2 linked regions of the Canis lupus familiaris genome follow. The protein of the gene in region 1 interacts with the protein of each later gene in a pairwise test. Links are inferred from orthologs where the notes say so. Each region holds a gene or a part of one and is shown on either strand. Other genes may lie near its edges. The genes, in order: KLC3 and TSNAX.

Region 1 (9,637 bases):
TGTTCCCTAGAAACCCCCCGGGGATGTTAGAGCAGGAGCTTGAGTTGTATTTGCTATTATTCAATCAACAGCTATTCGCCCAAGTGCCTTCTCTGTGTTCAGTCTGTGCTGGGGAGCACTGGGGACACAGTGGTGCCTGAGACCGTCCCCTCCTGGGACTTACATTCCAACGTGGGAGACAGACCTGTCCTCAAGACAGCGATGACCCAGAGTGGGCAGGGCTGAAACGTGGGGGAGCCCGGGCGGCTGCCAGGCCCCTGTGGGGGCGGAGAGGGCTTCCTGGAGGAGGGAACAGCTGCACTGGAGCTCAGAGAACAAGGGAGCAGAGGGCAGGTGGGCCTTGGCTCTGAGGGAAGAGGCGGGTCTGCGCGGCAGCCTGAGGCCGGGATCACGGACCAGCAGCGCCCTCTGCTGGAAGCATCCTGAAGGGAGCGGTCGAGGTACTGCAAGGGTTTGGAAAAGTTTGGCGTTGAACCAAATTCTATGATCTGAGATCTGAGATTCCTGTGCGCCCAGCTTTGGCCGATTTAAGTTTCTAAGACTTGATTCATTCAACTACTCAGTGAGCAAGCACTTTGCACCGGACTCTATTCTAGCGCTAGTGATGCAGTGCTGACCATACAGAGCCCTGTCCATACAGTACCTCATTCAGTCTTCGCAGCCTTTATCCCCATTTCACAGATTCAGAGAATTGACACACACAGAGGTTAAGTTACTTGCCCAAGGCCTTCACTACCAAATGCTGAAAATCAACTTCGAACCCAGAGCCCAATTTCTAGTCCTTGCAATTACCTCGCTAATATATTATGGAATGAAATATCGTATGACCAAGTTACATAAAATAATCTTAGGTCCTGAGAAGTTTTGTAAACAGCAGGCAGGGGAGGGACACCTGTGTGACTCAGCTGGTTAAGCATCTGCCTTTGGCTCAAATCGTGATCTCAGGGTCCTGGTATCGAGTCTGGCTCCCTGCTAAGTGGGGAGGGAGCCTGCTTCTCCCTCTCCCTCTGCCTGACGCTCCCCTGCTTGTGCTCTCTCTGTCTGTCAAATAACTAAATCCTTAAAAAAGAGATGAAGCAGGGAAATGGAGTAGTGTTTTGGTGAGACAGTGTCATTAGAAAGGGCAACTAATATTCAACAAAGGAGGAAAGACTATCCACTGGAACAGTCTCTTCAATAAATGGTGCTGGGAAAATTGGACATCCACATGCAGAAGAATGAAACTGGACGATTCTCTTACATCATACACAAAGATAAACTCAAAATGGATGAAAGATCTAAATGTGAGACAAGATTCCATCAAAATCCTAGAGGAGAACACAGGCAACACCTTTTTGAACTTGGCCACAGTAACTTCTTGCAAGATACATTCATGAAGGCAAGAGAAACAAAAGCAAAAATGAACTATTGGGACTTCATCAAGATAAGAAGCTTTTGCACAGCAAAGGATACAGTCAACAAAACTAAAAGACAACCTACAGAATGGGAGAAGATATTTGCAAATGACCTATCAGATAAAGGGCTAGTATCCAAGATCTATAAGAACTTATTAAACTCAACAGCAAAGAAACAAACAATCCAAAAATGAAATGGGCAAAAGACACGAAGAGAAATCTCACAGAGGAAGACATAGACATGGCCAACACGCACATGAGAAAATGTTCCGCATCACTGGCCATCGGGGAAATACAAATCAAAACCACAATGAGATACCACCTCACACCAGTGAGAATGGGGAAAATTAACAAGGCAGGAAACCACAAATGTTGGAGAGGATGCAGAGAAAAGGGAACCCTCTTGCACTGTTGGTGGGAATGTGAACTGGTGCAGCCATTGTGGAAAACTGTGTGGAGGTTCCTCAAAGAGTTAAAAATAGACCTGCCCTACCACCCAGCAATTGCACTGCTGGGGATTTACCCCAAAGATACAGATGCAATGAAACGCCGGGACACCTGCACCCCGATGTTTCTAGCAGCAATGTCCACAATAGCCACACTGTAGAAGGAGCCTCGGTGTCCATCGAAAGATGAATGGATAAAGAAGATGTGGTTTACTATACAATGGAATATTCCTCAGCCATTAGAAATGACAAATACCCACCATCTGCTTCGACGTGGATGGAACTGGAGGGTATTATGCTGAGTGAAATAAGTCAATCGGAGAAGGACAAACATTATATGGTCTCATTCATTTGGGGAATATAAAAAATAGTGAAAGGTAATAAAGGGGAAAGGAGAAAAAATGAGTGGGAAATATCAGAGAGGGGGACAGAACATGAGAGACTCCTAACTCTGGGAAACGAACAAGGGGTAGTGGAAGGGGAGGTGGGTGGGGGTGGGGGTGACTGGGTGACGGGCACTGAGGGGGGCACTTGATGGGATGAGCACTGGGTGTTATGCTATATGCTGGCAAATTGAACTCCAATAGTTTTTTTTTTTAAAGAAAAAAGGGCCAGTAGGGAAGGCCTCTCGGAGGAAGCGGCCTTTGTGAAGCTACCAGACTAACGAATGGCGTCTGTGGGAATAGGGGGGGCCCAGGCAGCGGGCACAGCCGAAGGCAAGGCCGGGCGGCGGGCGCTGCTAGAAAGCCCTCGGCCTGGGATCCCTAGTTTCCAAGGGTCGAGCTGCGCTGCACCCCGGCTTGGCAGCCTCCAGCGCGCTGGGCTCGCGCTCAGATTCGACGGGCCCGACAGGCACGCGGAGGGCTTCGCGGGTCCGCTGCTGCGCTGGCGCTTCCCCCGCGGCGGGCGGGCTGGGCTCCGCGGGAGCGGCGGGGGGCGGGGCGGGCTCACCTGCGGGGGCGGGGCTTCCGCCCGCCCCGCCCCTCGGAGGAGCCGCCCGCGGCCCGAGACCCAGGGCGCAGCTGGGAGCCGCCGGGCGTGCGCGGTGTGCGGGACGCGGCCCGGCGCATCTCGGCGGAGCGGGTCCCGGAGCCGCCGGCGCTCAGGTGGGCCCCTCGAGTGCTGGGCGGGGGAGTCCCGGGGACCGCGAGGATGGGGGCGGAGGGTGAGGGCTGGGCCCCGCGCACCCTGGGGCCCGCTGGCCTGGCGACGGGGACGGGCCTTGGGGCTCCTGGGCCCCCTGGGCCCTCCTGCCCCGCCCTGGGGCCCCCCCTCCCGGGTCCCGAGGCCCAGCTGGGGCCGCGCCCCCTCCCCGGTGCGCAGGTAAACAGGAGCGAAGACGGGGCGGGGCCTGGGGGGAGGAGGGCGGGGGCCCTTGTGACGGCGGGGGTGGGGAAGCCGGGGTGCGCGGGGCTGGGCCAGGCCGGCCGCGGTAAGGTGTGCGGTTTAGGGGGCTGGCCTGCAGGTGCGGGCGTGGAGATGGGGCGTATGAGAGGCGGTGTGCGAGGCTCAGGTGTGTGTGATGGTGTACGAAGCTCAGGTGTGTGCGCGACGGGCTCCGGCGGTGGGTGCGGGCGAGGAAGGGACAGGGATGGTCCGTGTAACCGTGTGCGGGCGCCCAGGGACTGTGGGAACGACGTGGAGCTGTCTCAGATGCAACACGTGGGCGGACCTCTGTGCGTCTAATGATGGGGGTGGGGGCCGTGTGTATGGGAGGGAGTTGCTCTGTTTATAGGATTAGGTGCGTGACTCAGAGCTTGCGTGGCTGGGGCGGTCTTTCTGCCTGTTAAGGCGCGGGGAGCCGCAGGGAGGTGGGCGATGTGGGACCCGCATGGACGGGGAGGGTGTGCCTGGGATTAACACTGTCAGCTGTGCGGTTGTACGTGTGTGAAAGGGAGTTTGTTGTTCACGGGACTGAGTGTGGGCAAAAATCATGGGAATAATGGAGCTGTCTGAATGACTCCATGAACGTGTGATCGTAACTTTGTGGGGCTTGTGTGTGACACGGAGTATGGTGAGACATGTACACACATATATACGTATAGTGAGAGAGACTGGTGTCTGCACACACGTATATGTAGAGATTGATGGCAGGGGAGAGCCTGCAGTGTAGAAAATCCGTGGATTATGTGCCTGCCTTCCTGTGTGTCTTGGTGTATGATGTTCGTGAGCAGGTAAGTAGGTACCCAAACCACTAGGCTGCTTACGGCGCCCTGGTGGCTTGAGTGAGGCACATGCCCGAGAGGGTCTATGCAAACACCTCTCTGTGTCTCCACAACTGAATCTGAGTTCAGGAATTGTCTGTATGTCCGTGTTTGAAGCTCTGTGTATCTGTGTGTATGCTGTGTGCAGGTGCGTGAATCTCTGGCTGGCCGGGCAAGGTGTTGGGGGAAGTGGGGAAGGAGATGATAGGTCCACAGTGAATCCCAAGAGTGTGTGTGTGTGTGTGTGTGTGTGTGTGTGTGTGTGTGCGCGCGCGCGCGCATGCGTGCCTGGAGGAGGTGATGGGCATGTAATGGAGAGCTAGCTGCTTGCAGGACCTTATAAGTGCGGGAAAGGTGTGTCATGGGGGTAACTGCAAAGAGATAGCCTGAATGTGAGTGATTTGGGATTTGGTTATCTTTTCACTAGTGAGGGGGGACAGAGTTTCTGTGTGTGTTGGCTTTTTTTCCCAAGAGGAAAATACACCAGTGTGTGGGATTATATTTCCAAGAGGGGAGAGCATACATGTGTTGTTTCTGAAAGAGTATGTGGGTGTGCGTGCACGAGCCTGAGTAAGTGTGTTGCGTTTTTTTTTTTTTTTTTTAAGATTTTATTTGAGAGAGAGAATGAGCCAGGGGAAGAGCAGAGGGAGAGGGAGAAGCCTATTGTGGGACCCAATTCTGGAACCCCTGGATCATACTTGAGCTGAAGGCAGGCGCTTAACTGAGCCACCCAGGCACCCTTGGATTAGGTTTTTTGAAAGGAAAATGTGGATGTGTAGGATTGTATTTTTATTTTTTAGAGGAGAAAGAGAGTGTCCTGTATGTCTTGCTTCAGAGAAAATGTATATTATGTTTTTAAGAAAGAAAGGAGTGTGCATGTTGAGCCGTCTTCTTGTAGAGGGGAGTGTGTGTGTGTACGAGCAGGTGTGTTTCTGAGAAAGTACGTATATATTGCACTGCATTTGAAAAAAGAAAGAGCAGGTATTCAGTTTCTGAGAGGAGGAGAACGTGTGTGTCGCATTGTGTATTTAAGAAGGGAGGGTGTGCGTGTGTTGGGGTCTGTTTCTGGGAGGGGAGTGAGTGTGCTTGTGTGTGAATACAGAGGCTACAGAGGCTCCAGCAGCTGTGTCATTGACTTTGTCACCTACATACAACCACATAAAGTGCCACACATGAGACCCCCACCCATTAGCATCTAGGCCTCAGACTCTGAGCTGTCACAGGGCTAGTGTGACATCCATGGGCCGTGCCTGTCACACGTGTGTCCCAACATGCCTTGGGCTGGCGGAGCCTGTCTGCAGTGGAGGGTGGAGTCCTTGTTCCCTTGGGATCCATCAGGCCCTGGGAGCTGACACACAGGCACCCCCCCATCCCCCTAAATCTAGAGGGCTCCTCTGCTTCCAGTGCCCCAGCCCCTTGGCCCTCTCCTCCGGCCCCACCCCTCCAGCCCCAGTGGTCCGACTGGTTCCCAACAAAAACACCCTAAGAATGAGCTCACGGAGAGGCCGCCTCCACATGCCCCGCCCCACACACCCAGCAGAGGCGTGTGCCTCCAGTCCAGGTCACACGGGGAGTCCTGGGGCCAGGTATCTGGGGCCCTTGGGATAGACAGGGCTGGCCAGGTGAGCTGAGGGCAGGTGAGAGGCCACGAGACCACTGGTTGCCCCAGATTTTGAGTGGCCCTCAGGGCAGGGCCCATGGCTGAGGACAGGCAAAGCTAGACTAGAATGTTTCCAGTTGCCAGCTGGCTGGGATGGGTGCGGGACAGGGAGCCGGCCAGGGTGAGGAGGGACTGATGGGCCTGCTTGCCTGGCCCTGACCCCCCAATCCCTGCTACCCACCCCAGGAACAGCAATGTCCGTGCAGGTGGCAGCCCCTGGAAGTGTGGGGCTGGGCCCGGAGCGCCTGAGCCCCGAGGAGCTGGTGCGGCAGACGCGACAAGTGGTGCAGGGGTTGGAGGCCCTGCGAGCAGAGCACCATGGCCTGGCCAGGCACCTGGCGGAGGCGCTGGCAGGACAGGGCCTGGTGGCTGGCTTGGAACTGCTGGAAGAAAAGCAGCAGGTGGTGAGCCACGCGCTGGAGGCCATCGAGCTGGGACTGGGCGAGGCCCAGGTATGGGGGGGGGAGCAGCTATCCAGCCATGGGGGGGGAGGCTCAGAGCTGGGAGGAGGCCCGGGATGAGGGAGGCAAGTATGTAGGGGGTGATGAGCCTGGAGCAGGGGAGGCCTAGGGGAGCCAGGCCTGGGGAGGAGGGGTTCTAGGCTGGAAATGGGATCCCTGGGTGGCATTAGGGGGTCCTTTTGTGTGACAGGAGCCCCTGAACCAATGGCATCCATCTATAGAACTGTAGATTCTAGGGAGATGTTGGGGTCACATGGGTAGGATATGAAGTGGCCCTACACGTGATTTGTGTGCCTGAATGAAATCAGAAGGGTCCCTGGGTGGGGTTTGGGTGTGCCCTTGGGAGTTTCTGCACATCCTCAGAGTCACTTGGAAGGGCCAAGAGTTGGGGTGCTCTGGCATGACATGAGGCCCTGGGTTGGGCCAGGGACTGCCTGGTAGGAGAGGGACTGGGCCCCTGATCCCCGGCCCCCTGCAGGTGCTGCTGGCCCTGTCCGCGCACGTGGGCTCCCTGGAGGCGGAGAAGCAGCGGCTGCGAGCGCAGGCCCGGCGGCTGGCCCAGGAGAACTCGTGGCTGCGGGAGGAGCTGGAGGAGACGCAGCGGCGCCTCCGGGCCAGCGAGGAGGCCGTGGCCCAACTGGAGGAGGAGAAGAGCCACCTGGAGTTCCTGGGGCAGCTGCGCCAGTATGACCCCCCTGCCGAGAGCCAGGTGCTGCAGGGCTGGGCAAGCCAGGGGGCCCCCATCCTCCTTAGATCCCCCACAGACCTGTACCACTCCATGGAGCCCCCAGTGCCCTAGACCCTCCAAAGAAGCCCTAGACCTTCGACAGGGTTCCACAACCCCCAGACTCAGTAAAATTTCCACAGAAGCCCTCCCAGCTTCCACAAAATCCCCAGATCTTCCCCAAGCCCTCAGAAACCCCCCTCAAACTCGGAGGTCCAGGACCCTGGTCTCTAAAGCAAACTCCCAGCCCTCTTTGACTCCTCACTTTCCTGCCCTCTGCAGCGGCCTGAATCCCCTCCTCGACGAGACAGCCTAACCCCCCTGTTCTCCAGCGAGGAGGAAGAGAGGAAAGGTGGGTGTGGGGGAGCACGCAATTGTTGGGCCACTCGGCCACGGAGGATAAGAGGCTGAGGCCGGGGAGGGACGGAGACCCAAGGTGGATGTCAGGGCAGGGCGGCAGGAGCATGAGGCAAGGGGCCGGGCCAGGGCGCATGACAGCCGAGGCTGGAAGCTGTGAAACCAGGCGTGCCACAGCCGCACCCGCCAGGCGGACCCCGCGTTCACATCCCATGAACCAATCTCCAAGGTCAGTGCGGGGATCCGTCATCCCAGGGACCAATGGGCCAGTGAGGCAGCTATAGCCCTGGAGTATGTTCCTCTTTTTGGGGATGGGAAGGGTGGGAGGCTGGCAGTGACCTGATGTCCATCTGCCACTCGCAGGCCCTGAGGCAGCGGGGGCGGCAGCGGCTCAGCAGGGTGGCTACGAGATCCCAGCCCGCCTTCGGACCCTGCACAACCTTGTGATCCAGTACGCAGGGCAGGGCCGCTACGAGGTTGCTGTGCCACTGTGCCGCCAGGCCTTAGAGGACCTGGAACGGAGCTCGGGCCACTGCCACCCCGATGTGGCCACCATGCTCAACATCCTGGCGCTGGTGTACCGGTGAGGGCTGCGGCCGGCCACGGACCCATTGCTGGGGGCAGGGGAGCTGGCGTCCCACTCTGCCAGCATGGGGCACCTGGATTGGTGGTAGCAGGGGGTGTCGACAGGGATCTGGAGAAGCCAGTGATCCAAGCAAGGAGTCAGACAACCATAGGCAAGAGACCTGTGGGGGCTGGAGGCTTGACAGCAAAGGGACCCTGTGCCAGACTTGGAAAGTGTGGCTCACAAGCGACCATGGAAGGGCGCCTGCCACCCAGGCTTGGCCCGGCAGGTGCTGCCCCAGCATGTCTGACCCCCCTCCATCCCTGGGCCACATCACAGGGACCAGAACAAGTACAAAGAGGCCACAGACCTTCTCCATGATGCCCTGCAGATCCGGGAGCAGACACTGGGCCCTGAGCACCCTGCGGTGAGTGGGGGCCCAGGAGTGAGGGCCGTGGGGTGGAGCCTACCGCCCCTGACCTGCCTCCCCGACCCTGCAGGTGGCTGCCACCCTCAACAACCTGGCTGTGCTCTACGGGAAGCGCGGGCGGTACCGGGAGGCGGAGCCCCTCTGCCAGCGCGCCCTGGAGATCCGCGAGAAGGTCCTGCCTCCTGCCCAGCCCCCACGGAGTCCCTAGGCCACCGGCCCCTCCCATCTGATCCTGATGTGCTCAATTCACTGGCTCCGGGGTTGCAACCCTGATCCTATGATGTCCTTCCCATCTGATACCGTGAGGCCTCAGTTTGAGCCTCAATGATCCAATCTCGCAACCCACTACCCTTGACCTTCTGTGAACTTCCCCAATCTTGACTCTGATCCTTTGTAGAAATCACCTCATATGCCCCCCAACCCAGTCCTAACCTTCTAATCCCATGTGACCAGCCTGATCTTGACCCGATTAATCCCCAGTTTGTGTCACTTCCACCCTCTGGCTCACAACCTAATGTAACTCTCCCCACTGATCCTATGAACCTTAACTCATGACCCCTATTATGGCTACAGGCATCCTGTGGCTCACTGATGCCCCCACCCCTAGGTCCTGGGCACCGACCACCCAGACGTGGCCAAGCAGCTCAACAACCTGGCCTTGCTGTGCCAGAACCAGGGCAAGTTCGAGGAGGTGGAGCAGCACTATGCCCGAGCCCTGAGCATTTATGAGGCCCTGGGAGGGCCCCACGACCCAAATGTGGCCAAGACCAAGAACAACCTGGTGAGGGCCCTGGGGCTGACTGCCAGGGGCTCCCCTGGAGAGGCACCCACTGGCTCAAGGGTGGGATACCCTGGAGCCCTCTGCTGAGCTCCCAGTGCAAGAGTCCCCAAAGACCTGGCCTCTGAGCTGGGCCCCAACTGGTGAGCTTGCTCAGCACAGCTAGAACATAGAAAAATCAGGAAACACACAAGTTGGTGGGGCCAGATGACCGTCTCATATTTATTGAGCTCTGGACCCCCTTTCTTAATACTTTCCCTATACTGTCCATTTCTTAAAGGACACTAGGAGGTAGATGCTCCTGTCACCCCATTTTGCAAATGAGGAAACTGAGGCACAACGGTGGTATCACTAGCCCAAGGTGGAGCAGGAACCAATCACCTGCCCTAGGTCATGAGGGGGGAGAGGGAGAGGATATGCCTGGGGAGCTCCAGATCTGAGCCTCGATCACCCACCCTCCCCGCAGGCCTCGGCCTACCTAAAACAGAACAAGTACCAGCAAGCAGAAGAGCTGTACAAAGAGATCCTGAGCCGGGAGGACCTGCCTGCTCCCCTGGGTGAGCCCCCGGCCCCTCCCCCCTCAGGTGACATTCTCAGTGTCTCCATTGCACTGTCCCC
Region 2 (9,845 bases), on another chromosome or scaffold:
ATTAGGATGTGGACTTTTTTTTTTAATTTAAATTTTAGTTAGTTAACATACAGTTCAATATTGGTTTGAATTCAGCAATTCATCACTTAATACAACACCCAGTGCTCATTGCACCAAGTGTCCTCTTTAATACCCATCCCCCACCCACCTTTTTCCATCAACCCTCAGTTTGTTCTCTATTGTTAAGAGTCTGTTATGCTTTATTTCCCTCTCTCCTTTTCTCCCCTTCCCATATGTTCATCTGTTTTCTTTCCTAAATTCCACATAGGAGTGAGGATTATATGGTATTTGTCTTTCCCTGGCTGACTTATTCCACTTAGCATAATACACTAGCTACACCTATGTCTTTGTGAAGGGCAAGATTTCATTCATTTTGATGGCTGAGTAATATTCAATTGTATATGTATATAGCACATCTTTTTTCATTTACCAGTTGAACATTTGGGCTCTTTCCATAGTTTGGCTATTGTTGATAATGCTGCCATAAACATTGAGGTGCATATACCCTTTCAAATATGTATTTTTCTATCCTTTGGGTAAATATCTAATAGTTCAGTTGCTAGGTCATAGGGTAGTTCTATTTTTAACTTTTTGAGGAACCTCCAGATTGTTCTCTAGATTGGGTACACCAGCTTGCATTCCTACCAACAATGCAAGAGGTTTCCCCTTTCTAGGATATGGACATCTTTGGAAGGCCATTATTTGGGCTACCACAGAAGGCTTCAATGAGAAGGTGCCATTTTCAGTGGGGACATGAAATGAGAAAAGAAAAAGTCTTAAAGAAATCTGTGGAAAAAGCCATCCATTCTAAAAGAATAGTAGGTGCTAAGGCTTTGAGGCAGAACCATGTCTAGCTTGTTTGAGAACAGAAGGTCAAAGAGGAAGGTCAAACAGAGTTAGCAAACAGTAGATGAGGACAAGGTAATGAGGTGGCGGTTGGGGCCAATTATATAGGGTCTTGTAATAATTTTGATTTTTACTCTGAGGAAGAGGAGTATACTTGCAATTTTAAGTAGAGGAGTAACACCATCTCTATATTTTTTAAATGGAATCATTGACTGCTATGTGGAAAAATGACTGAAAGTTGGGCAAAATTGAAAACAGGACACCAGTGTCTATCAGTTAGCTGCACAACAAACTACCCTGAAACTAAAGGGATTTAAAATGACTGATTGTTTCTCATGATTTTGTGGTTTGTATGGCTGGTTCTTTTGCTCCATGGAGGTGATGGCTGGTGTCATCATTCTGTTGCATTCAGAAAGGAGTTCAGCTGGGACTGCAATGTCAAGGTAGAGTCACTCACGTGGCTGGCAGCTCAGCTGGGTTGGTTGTAAGGAACATGGGTTGGTCAGGCCTCTCTCTCCAATAGAATAGTCAGACATCTTACACCGTGGCTAATGGTTCCGAGAGAGCTAAAAGGGAAGCTGTTGGGTCTTTTAAGGTCTAGGCTCGCAATTGATGCAACACTGCTTCCTCCACATTCTGTTAGTAAAAACAAGCCAAAGGCTAAATCAACTTTAAGGGGAGAGAAAACTGACTCCACTTCTTGATGAGAAGGACTGACATCTATATTCAGTTAGGAGATTATTGGAGTATTTCAGATGAGAGATGATGGTAGCTTGGGTAAGCGGAAGATAGTAGAATTTGGAGAGACTGGTTGTAATCTAAGTATATGGTGAAGGTAGAACAAATAGGATTTGGTAATGAATAGTGGCATAGTCTGCTTGGGGTGTCATAAGAAAAGTACCATAACCTGGGTTGCTTAAACAACAGAAATTTATTTTTTCACACTCTGGGGAATGGAAGTCTAAGATCAGTGTTCTAAGACGGTAGGTTCTAGTCCTCTCTTCCTGGCTTGCAGATGGTGTCTGGCGGTATCCTCATATGGCTTTTCCTTGATGAATGCATATGGGGAAAGAGATTGTTCTCTCCCTCTTTTTGTAAGGCCACCACCAGTCCTACCAGATTAGTACCCCACCACATGACCTTACTTAATCTCACTTATCTCCTAAAAGCCCTATATCCAAAGATAGTCACATTGAGTGTTAGGGCTTCCACATAGTAATTTTGGGGGATGCAGTTCAGTCCAGAGTAAATAGGATGTAGAATGTGAAAGAGGGAGGAGTTAACGATGACTCTAGTTTTTTAGTCTGATCAATTGGAAAAAGATTATTTACATGAACTTAAATAGGGAATAATGCTGAAGAGATGGGTTTTGGGGGACTGGTGTGTTCAATTTTGGATATGTTAATTTTGAGATAAATATTAAACACTCAAGAAATAGGTGAATAAGGTACTGGGATATGGGTTTGGACTGGATATGAATTTTTTGGAGCAGAAGCATAATGTGGGGTTTTATTAGATTACTAACGACATTTAAAATCATCCGAATGAGATCAACATGAGACTAAGTGTAACAGAGAGGAAGTCTTTTGAGCAATTGATTGTTGAGTTTGGGGAGATGAGGAGGAACAACAAAGGTTTGAGAATTGGCTAGTAAGGGAGAAGTAAGGTCTCACCGAAAATGTTTACCTTCCGCTTCCCAACTTGGGTGGTAGCTTTCCCTTAAAAACAAACGAAAATATGTTTTGCCAAATAGTAAAACTCTGTGTATGCATATGAAGCAACAAACAAAGAGACAACGTGGAGATGACTTCTGCAGGTTACCAGAGGTGGTATTTCCTGACAAAGGAGCAGTTACAGATGGGACACCTGGTGAAACTGCATATGCAAATAAGTTCTGGAGAAGTGTTCCCGGGATTCACCTTTCAGTACTTTGAGAAGTCATTACAAGTTATGAAACTTTGCATTCTAATTGTAACAATTATGGGAAGCCTGAAAAACTGTTCAAGCAACATAGCTGTAGTTAAACAGCTGAACAGGAGTGGTGGCTGGGGAAAGAAAATAAACATGGCTGATCTAAATTTTGGGTAGTTGAGGTCTTCAGAGCTGCTATTCCAGTAGAATTAGGAAAAAATACTCTTCTTCTAAGACTGTGCTAAATAAATATTGACTCTAAAAATGTTCATAAGTTATTGGCTTCCTTATATCGAAGGGAGTCACATCTAAATTACTATATTTATAGCAGAAGGTTTTTTTTTTTTTTTTTTTTTTTTCTCCATGGTCAATTATTCTCTCATTAAAAAAGGGGAGATACTGGTGAACATCACCAGGGTCAGATCTCCTACAAACTCAGAATTAATTTGCCCCAAATCTACAAAGCAAGAGTCATGAGCAGCCTATTTTATCTGCAAGGAATTTGGTTGATTAATTCATGTAGTCGAAGAGCTGCAAAGGTATGGACAGGAGGTACCTTCTTGCTTCAGAGTGGGGAGAGACTCTAGAGATTAGCTAGAGCAGGAAACCTTCCTACCACACACCCCTGTCCTGGGCTTGAAAATTCGGCCATACTCTAGTCAAGTCGTTTCATTTACTATTCTTTCGTATTAGGAGGAATTAAGGACTGTGTGTGCAGCACGTGCCCACAACATGGAGATATTCAGAGAAAGTGTAATAAAACATACTTGTGTTTTCCCCACTCGGCCTACGCCACCCAATTTGCCAAAGCCCTACCCTGAGTTTATACCTAGAAGATGCTGGATTGCTACTTCGTTACCCATCTTGGCGATGGGAACCTCATCCTTGAACAAACACTTATAGCGGCTTTACAAGAGCTGTGGATCCCGGAGGCGCGGGTGGGAGGTTATAAAAGGTTGGAAGGCCTACACCTGGGTGGCTCAGTGGTTGAGCGCCTGCCTTTGGCTCAGGTCACCTCTCTCTCTCTCTCACGAATAAATAAAATCATATATATATGTATATATATATATATAAATATATAATCTAATAAGATATGGCAGTACCTGCCCCAAATAAAAAGCTCACAACTTAGTTGTGCGCACCTGTTAGCCTGTTATTACCAACCTCTCTCTCTTTTTTGGAGCGTGAGGTTGGGAGAAGGGTATGAAAGCTAATATTCTCTTTTTTAAAAAAAAGATTTTATTTATTCACGAAAGACACAGGGAGAGAGGCAGAGACAGGCAGAGGGAGAAGCAGCTCCCTGCGGGAAGCTGGATGCGGGACTCCATCCCAGGACTCTGGGATCCCAACCTGAGCCGAAGACAGACGCTGAACCGCTGCCCCACCCAGGTGCCCCTGAAAGCTAACATTTAATCGAGCAGGTACTATGCGAAAGGACACTCTTCTATGAACTTTAGTATTAACTCATTTGGCCCTCGACTAAGCGTATGACGCAGGTAGTATTCCATCCCTGTTTCACAGGTAAAGAAACTGAGGACAGTGGCTAACTGCCCTCGAGGTCACCCAGCCCCGCGGGGCCAGGGGACGCCGAGCGCAGCGAGCGCGCGGAGGCCGCGGTGCAGAAGGCGATGACAGGCGAGGGCCCGGGGCGGAGCACAGAGGGCGGGCTTTACCTTCGTCCGAACGCCAAGGCCGCCTGCTCACTGATTCGTGTCTCCCCATCACTTTGCCTGCTGGCCCCACAGCCAGGAATGGAAAGTTTAAACTCCCAGCTCCGTAAGATTCGGCCTGGATCCTGAGAAGACCCTCCCGTAGGCGATGGACGGCTCGCTCCCTCCTCACAGCCAGGTCGGGAGAGCAGCAAGGGGCTGACTCCGGCGGGCGAACTACAACCCCCATCACTCCCCGCGCGGAAGGCTGGGTCCACGCGAAGGGAACGCGGGGGTGTTCCCAAAGTGCCTTGAGGAAAAACAAAAAAAAAAATCACGAACACCTCCCGCCGTTTTTCCATCTTCACACAGGCCTCGCTTCCATCATCCGTTTTGATGGAAGCGCAGTGAGGCCTGTAGAGTTCGCTTTGTCTTCAGGCACAGCAGAGGGCAGCCGGGACGACGGCGCGCGGGCGCGAGAGCCCCGGGGCGCGCGGGGCGGAGCCTGCGGCGGCGGGGCCGGGGCGCAGGCCGGAAGTGTGCGAGGACGGAGGGAGAGGCGTGAGTGGCTGCGGGCGTGCGCTTCCGGCCAGTGCGTCGACGTCGGCCGGCCGCGGAGGGCTCCTCGGCAGGCTCTTCGGCCAGCACCTTACGCACCCCGCTGGCTCGCAGGCCTTGGGTCTCCGCTCATCTCGCCGTAGGCCGTGACGACATGAGCAGCAAAGAAGGTGGCGTCCTCGGCGGCCCTGGGCGTTCTTTATTCAAAGGGGGAGGATCTCCCTCCTTTTTGTCGGATTTTCCACTTCGCTTCCCGCTTGAGGGATTGCCCTCTCCCCATGCAGGCTCGGGGGCGGGGTGGGGGGGAGGGGCGGCCCCGGAGATTTCCTGGCCACCTCGGGCCTATGCACACCTGGCCATTTCTTAAATCCTCGAGCTGTGTCTTTGATTTTAGTTTGGTCATTGCTCCACCTTGTGCCAGATCAGGAAAGCCACTGGTGGAGGCCCCGGGTGAGGTGAGCTTAGGATTGGGGGGTGGGGGCGGGGGTGGGGGTGGGGGGAATAAAAAGGCAGGGCTGCTGCTGCGTGAGTCGGCCGAGCAAGCGAGCAAGCGAGCAAGCGTCTCGGGCCAGGGCCCCTGGGCGCGGGTGTGAGAGCGAGGCAGGGGCCAGCTCTGGTGCAAAAGCCCTACCCAACTGTTTTCTCCTTCTCTACGTAAGGATCAGGAGGGTTCAGGAAAAGGAAGCACGACAATTTCCCACATAACCAGAGAAGAGAAGGGAAGGATGTTAATTCATCTTCACCTGTGATGTTGGCCTTCAAATGTAAGTTTTCTGTCATGGAGGTTGGCGAAGGGAAGAGAGCGAGAGAGGTGGTAGCAAGGAGCGTTTAGGCATGTTGTGCTGCACACACCGTTAGGACGTGAGCTGTGCCGGTGTGACCCTTGTACCTTCTTCCCCCAGAGGTTAGCTGTGGTGCTGGGTCTGCCATTAAAGTCGAGGGTACTCAGGTGTTGGCTTTTTTTTTTTTTTTCCTGTAAGGGTTCTACAGGTAAATATTAGCATCAGAAATGCCACATCACTAAAAATTACTGCGTCCCCGACATACAAATATGTATCAGCGATATAGATCTGTCAGCTGTATGTATACATATAGATTTAATTAGTTCACTTTGTGTTTTTTTTTTTAATTATTTATTTATTTATGATAGTCACAGAGAGAGAGAGAGGCAGAGACACAGGCAGAGGGAGAAGCAGGCTCCATGCACCGGGAGCCCGACGTGGGATTCGATCCCGGGTCTCCAGGATCCCGCCCTGGGCCAAAGGCAGGCGCCAAACCGCTGCGCCACCCAGGGATCCCTAATTAGTTCACTTTGAAGCGTATATTTTGGTTTTGGCTCCTAAGCTAGAATCTTGAAGACCAGGATTAAGTTTTTTGTTGTGACTGTCACACCTCGCACAGAGCGGGACCTTTTCTATTAATAAGTCATATACATGCCACAGATATACGGCACATACATAATGTCTGTGTGTGTATGTGTTATTCACAGGCCTCCTTTTATTTTTTTATTTTATTTTATTTTTTAAAGATTTTATTTGTTTATTCATGAGAGAGAGGCAGAGACATAGAGGGGGAAGCAGGCTCTCTGTGGGGAGTCTGATGTGGAACTCCATCCCAGGACCCCGGGATCATGACCCGAGCTGAAGCATATGGGATGCTCAATCACTGGGCCACCCAGGTGTCCCTCACAATCCTCTTATTAACTTGGTTGAGTTGCTCCTCATTTCAAAAGAAAGCATAAAACAAAAATCTCCTTCCTGTCATCCTGTATCCACCCTCCTACACCTTACAGTTAGAGCCTGAGAGTGCCTGAGCTGTTGATTCTCACTCTCGGTCATCTGAAGACCTGAGTGGGCCTGGAGGATCCACCTCAGTTGACCAGTCGGGCCTTCTGCCAACAACCAGCTCTCCGTCCTCACAGGAAGCTACTTGAGTGGCCTAATGTTATGGCAGCTGGCTTCCTCGATCAAAGCAAGGAGGAAACCAGTCTTCTTAGGTCCTGATCTCAGACACAATACGCTGTTGCTTTTGCTACATTCTGTTTGTTAGAGATGAGGCAGTTTAAATAACTCTGCTTCATTTTTATTTTTTTATTTAAAAAATTTTTTTTTTAAGATTTTATTTATTTATGAGAGACAGAGAGAGAGAGAGGCAGAGACACAGGCAGAGGGAGATGCAGGCTCCATGAAGGAAGCCCGACATGGGACTCGATCCCGGGTCTCCAGGATCATAACCTGGACTGAAGGCGGCGCTAAACTGCTTAGCCATCCAGGCTGCCCTCTGCTTCATTTTTAAAGGGAACAAATTAGGTTCCACCTTTTGAAGGGAGTCCTAAATAATTTGTGGGTATATTTTAAAATCATGGCACCTACATTGATCTTTAGATGTATAAAACAACTTGTAATTGCTTAGTGTATTGATACAATGAATGGTATACACAGTGCAAAAACTGCAGTGGGCCAGGGTTTCCCCATCATTGTACTCTGACACACCATATACAGAGCTGCTTGTTTCCAAGCATATGTTGCTTTTGTATGTTTCTGTCTGCGTTTTCACACATAGTTCTTTAAGCTCAAAATTTCTTCTAATTTGCTAGTTCCATTGTCCATCTGGTGAACCATGGTTTCCTTCATAACCTAGTTCACATGTCTTCTTGGAAGTCTTTCTGACTTTTTTTGTCAAGCAAATTTATTGACAGACATTGCATTTATTCATTATCCATTCATCCATTTGGTCATTAAATATTTATTGAGCATCTACTGTGTTCTAGCATATGTTAGCAGGAACAAGAAAAATGTGGTTCCTGCTTTCCTGAACCTTTACACATGGTTATTATTAATTTTAATTGTTTACATTTTTGTCTTTAACTGGACTAAACTTCTTGAGGATAAGAATTGTCTTGTTTAACTTTGTATTCATAGTATCTGATTCACAGTTGTCATTAATATTTATAATAATGAAAGCTTTTCATTGTCTTGAAATACTAGGCAAAATCCCTTCTTAGTTGTTATCTCAATAATAGAAGCAAATGTATTTGGTCCTTGTCAACCTGTTAATTTGGTTAATAGTTTATTCAAGTTCTGGGGTTTTTTAAATCATGCAAAATACATCCCTGTGCTCCCTGTGGGACAGGATATTTGCTAGGTCTTTGTTGTGACAATGCTTCTGAAATAAAGTGGTGATTAAGAGTTAAGTGGCTTATGGGTATTTCAGTGACTAGGGCTTGGAAATTCAGAAAGTTGTCCTTAAAAGTTATGAACTTTTTTTTTTTTTTTGAACTTTTAATAAAAAAAAAAAAGTCCAGGTTTTTGTGGGGGGAGATAACATTGCATGTGATACGATTTAAAAAACATTATGAAAGGTAGTTGAAGTAATTTTTATAAAAGTCTCATGTGATAATTCTGCGATAATTCATGTTTACTAGATGAGGTTTGTTTTTTTTAAATTCTATATAAATATATATGTTTATATACATTTATATAAATATATATATATATATATATATACACACACACACACACATTTTACTATGAGGCTATGAGTGGTAAAATCCAGTTAAAGCATACCTGTTTAAAGAAAGAATATTTTGGTTACTACCAGTCTTTGATTTCCATCATTTAAATGAGATGATGTGTTCCTCATTTTTATAGAGTAAATAATAGTTCCTTTATAGTGCATAATAACAGTGTTGTTTGATAGGCTTGAAGCATGGAATATGCATGCTTATGGTTGTAATAATGTGTTAGCATTTCAGCAGGAACTTGATGCAAGACATGATAAATATGAGAGACTTGTGAAACTTAGTCGGGATATAACTGTTGAAAGTAAAAGGACAATTTTTCTTCTCCATAGGATTACAAGGTGAGTAAATATCTTTAAAATTTGTTATAGTTGCATACAGTTTGATATGTATTATATATATTTTGTAATGTTTTATACCTCAATGAACAGTAACTAGCTGTTAGAATATTCTGTGATTTGTTATATGAACATTGGGATCAGAAGACATTAGCAGCAAGTAGTTTTTTTTAGTTAATTTTTTTTAGAGTGAGCAAGCATGAGGGGAGGGGAGGGGAGAAGGCAGAGGGAGAGAGAGAATCTTAAGCAGGCTCCATGCCCACTCTGAAGCTAATGTGGGGCTCTGTCCCACAACCCTGAGATCATGACCTCAGCCAAACTCAAAGAGTCAGATACTCAACAGACTGAGCCATCCAGGCACCCCAGTAGCAAGTAGATTTTAAGAACAAATGTTTTAATCAACACAGGAAGGGAAAGTTCTTATTTTCAGAGCAGCTAGGGATTTGTGTTAAGATCACTCAGTGAAAAGCTGTTGTTTGTGAAAATATTAAATTTCTAATGGCTTCATTAGAGCCTGTTGCATAAAAGCTTTACTTGGATGATACATGTAAAATTTTAATGGTAGATCAATGTTGAAATCTAGTTATTTATCTTCCCATTCATTGATCAACTCATTGCAATCTGCTTTTCTGCCTCATAACTATTGAAATTGTCCTATTACCTTCATAATTGCTAAATCTAGTGCATACTCTTCTTATTTTACATTTTTGTAGCATATGATAGTATTGACTGCTTAATTCTCCTTTGGAAGTTCCCTTTTCTTCAGCTCTGAGGCATCTTTTCTTTGAAATTTCTTTCTGTAAGAATATTTTATTTTTCTAGATATATCCTAGATTCCTCAGTTGCAAATAAAAGAAACCAGATTATGAGGCGCCTAGGGCTCAGGTTGGTTAAGCGTCCAACTCCTAGTTTCAGCTCAGGTCATGATCTCAGGGTCAAGAGATTGAACCCCATGTGCAGCTCCACACTGAATGAGGAGTCTGCTTGAGATCCTCTCCCTCTCCTTCTTTACCCCCCTACCAC

The links.
Region 2: the proteins of KLC3 (region 1) and TSNAX interact in binary tests that used the Homo sapiens proteins (3 or more experiments, as listed by UniProt). The two-hybrid records come from large-scale screens. The link is inferred for Canis lupus familiaris from reciprocal best matches to the Homo sapiens genes KLC3 and TSNAX.

The regions. Positions count from the first base shown.
Region 1 is NC_049222.1:110,903,396-110,913,032, reverse strand, and holds the start of KLC3 (kinesin light chain 3), read left to right. Parts: upstream 1-3,276; 5' UTR 3,277-3,319; coding exon 3,320-3,380; intron 3,381-5,890; coding exon 5,891-6,156; intron 6,157-6,643; coding exon 6,644-6,874; intron 6,875-7,171; coding exon 7,172-7,241; intron 7,242-7,609; coding exon 7,610-7,829; intron 7,830-8,150; coding exon 8,151-8,238; intron 8,239-8,311; coding exon 8,312-8,413; intron 8,414-8,848; coding exon 8,849-9,022; intron 9,023-9,213; exon of another isoform or gene 9,214-9,485; coding exon 9,486-9,576; exon of another isoform or gene 9,577-9,637. UniProt on the Homo sapiens protein: Kinesin is a microtubule-associated force-producing protein that may play a role in organelle transport. Plays a role during spermiogenesis in the development of the sperm tail midpiece and in the normal function of spermatozoa.
Region 2 is NC_049225.1:8,340,273-8,350,117, reverse strand, and holds the start of TSNAX (translin-associated protein X), read left to right. Parts: upstream 1-4,934; 5' UTR 4,935-5,118; coding exon 5,119-5,134; intron 5,135-5,623; coding exon 5,624-5,728; intron 5,729-8,710; coding exon 8,711-8,825; intron 8,826-9,845.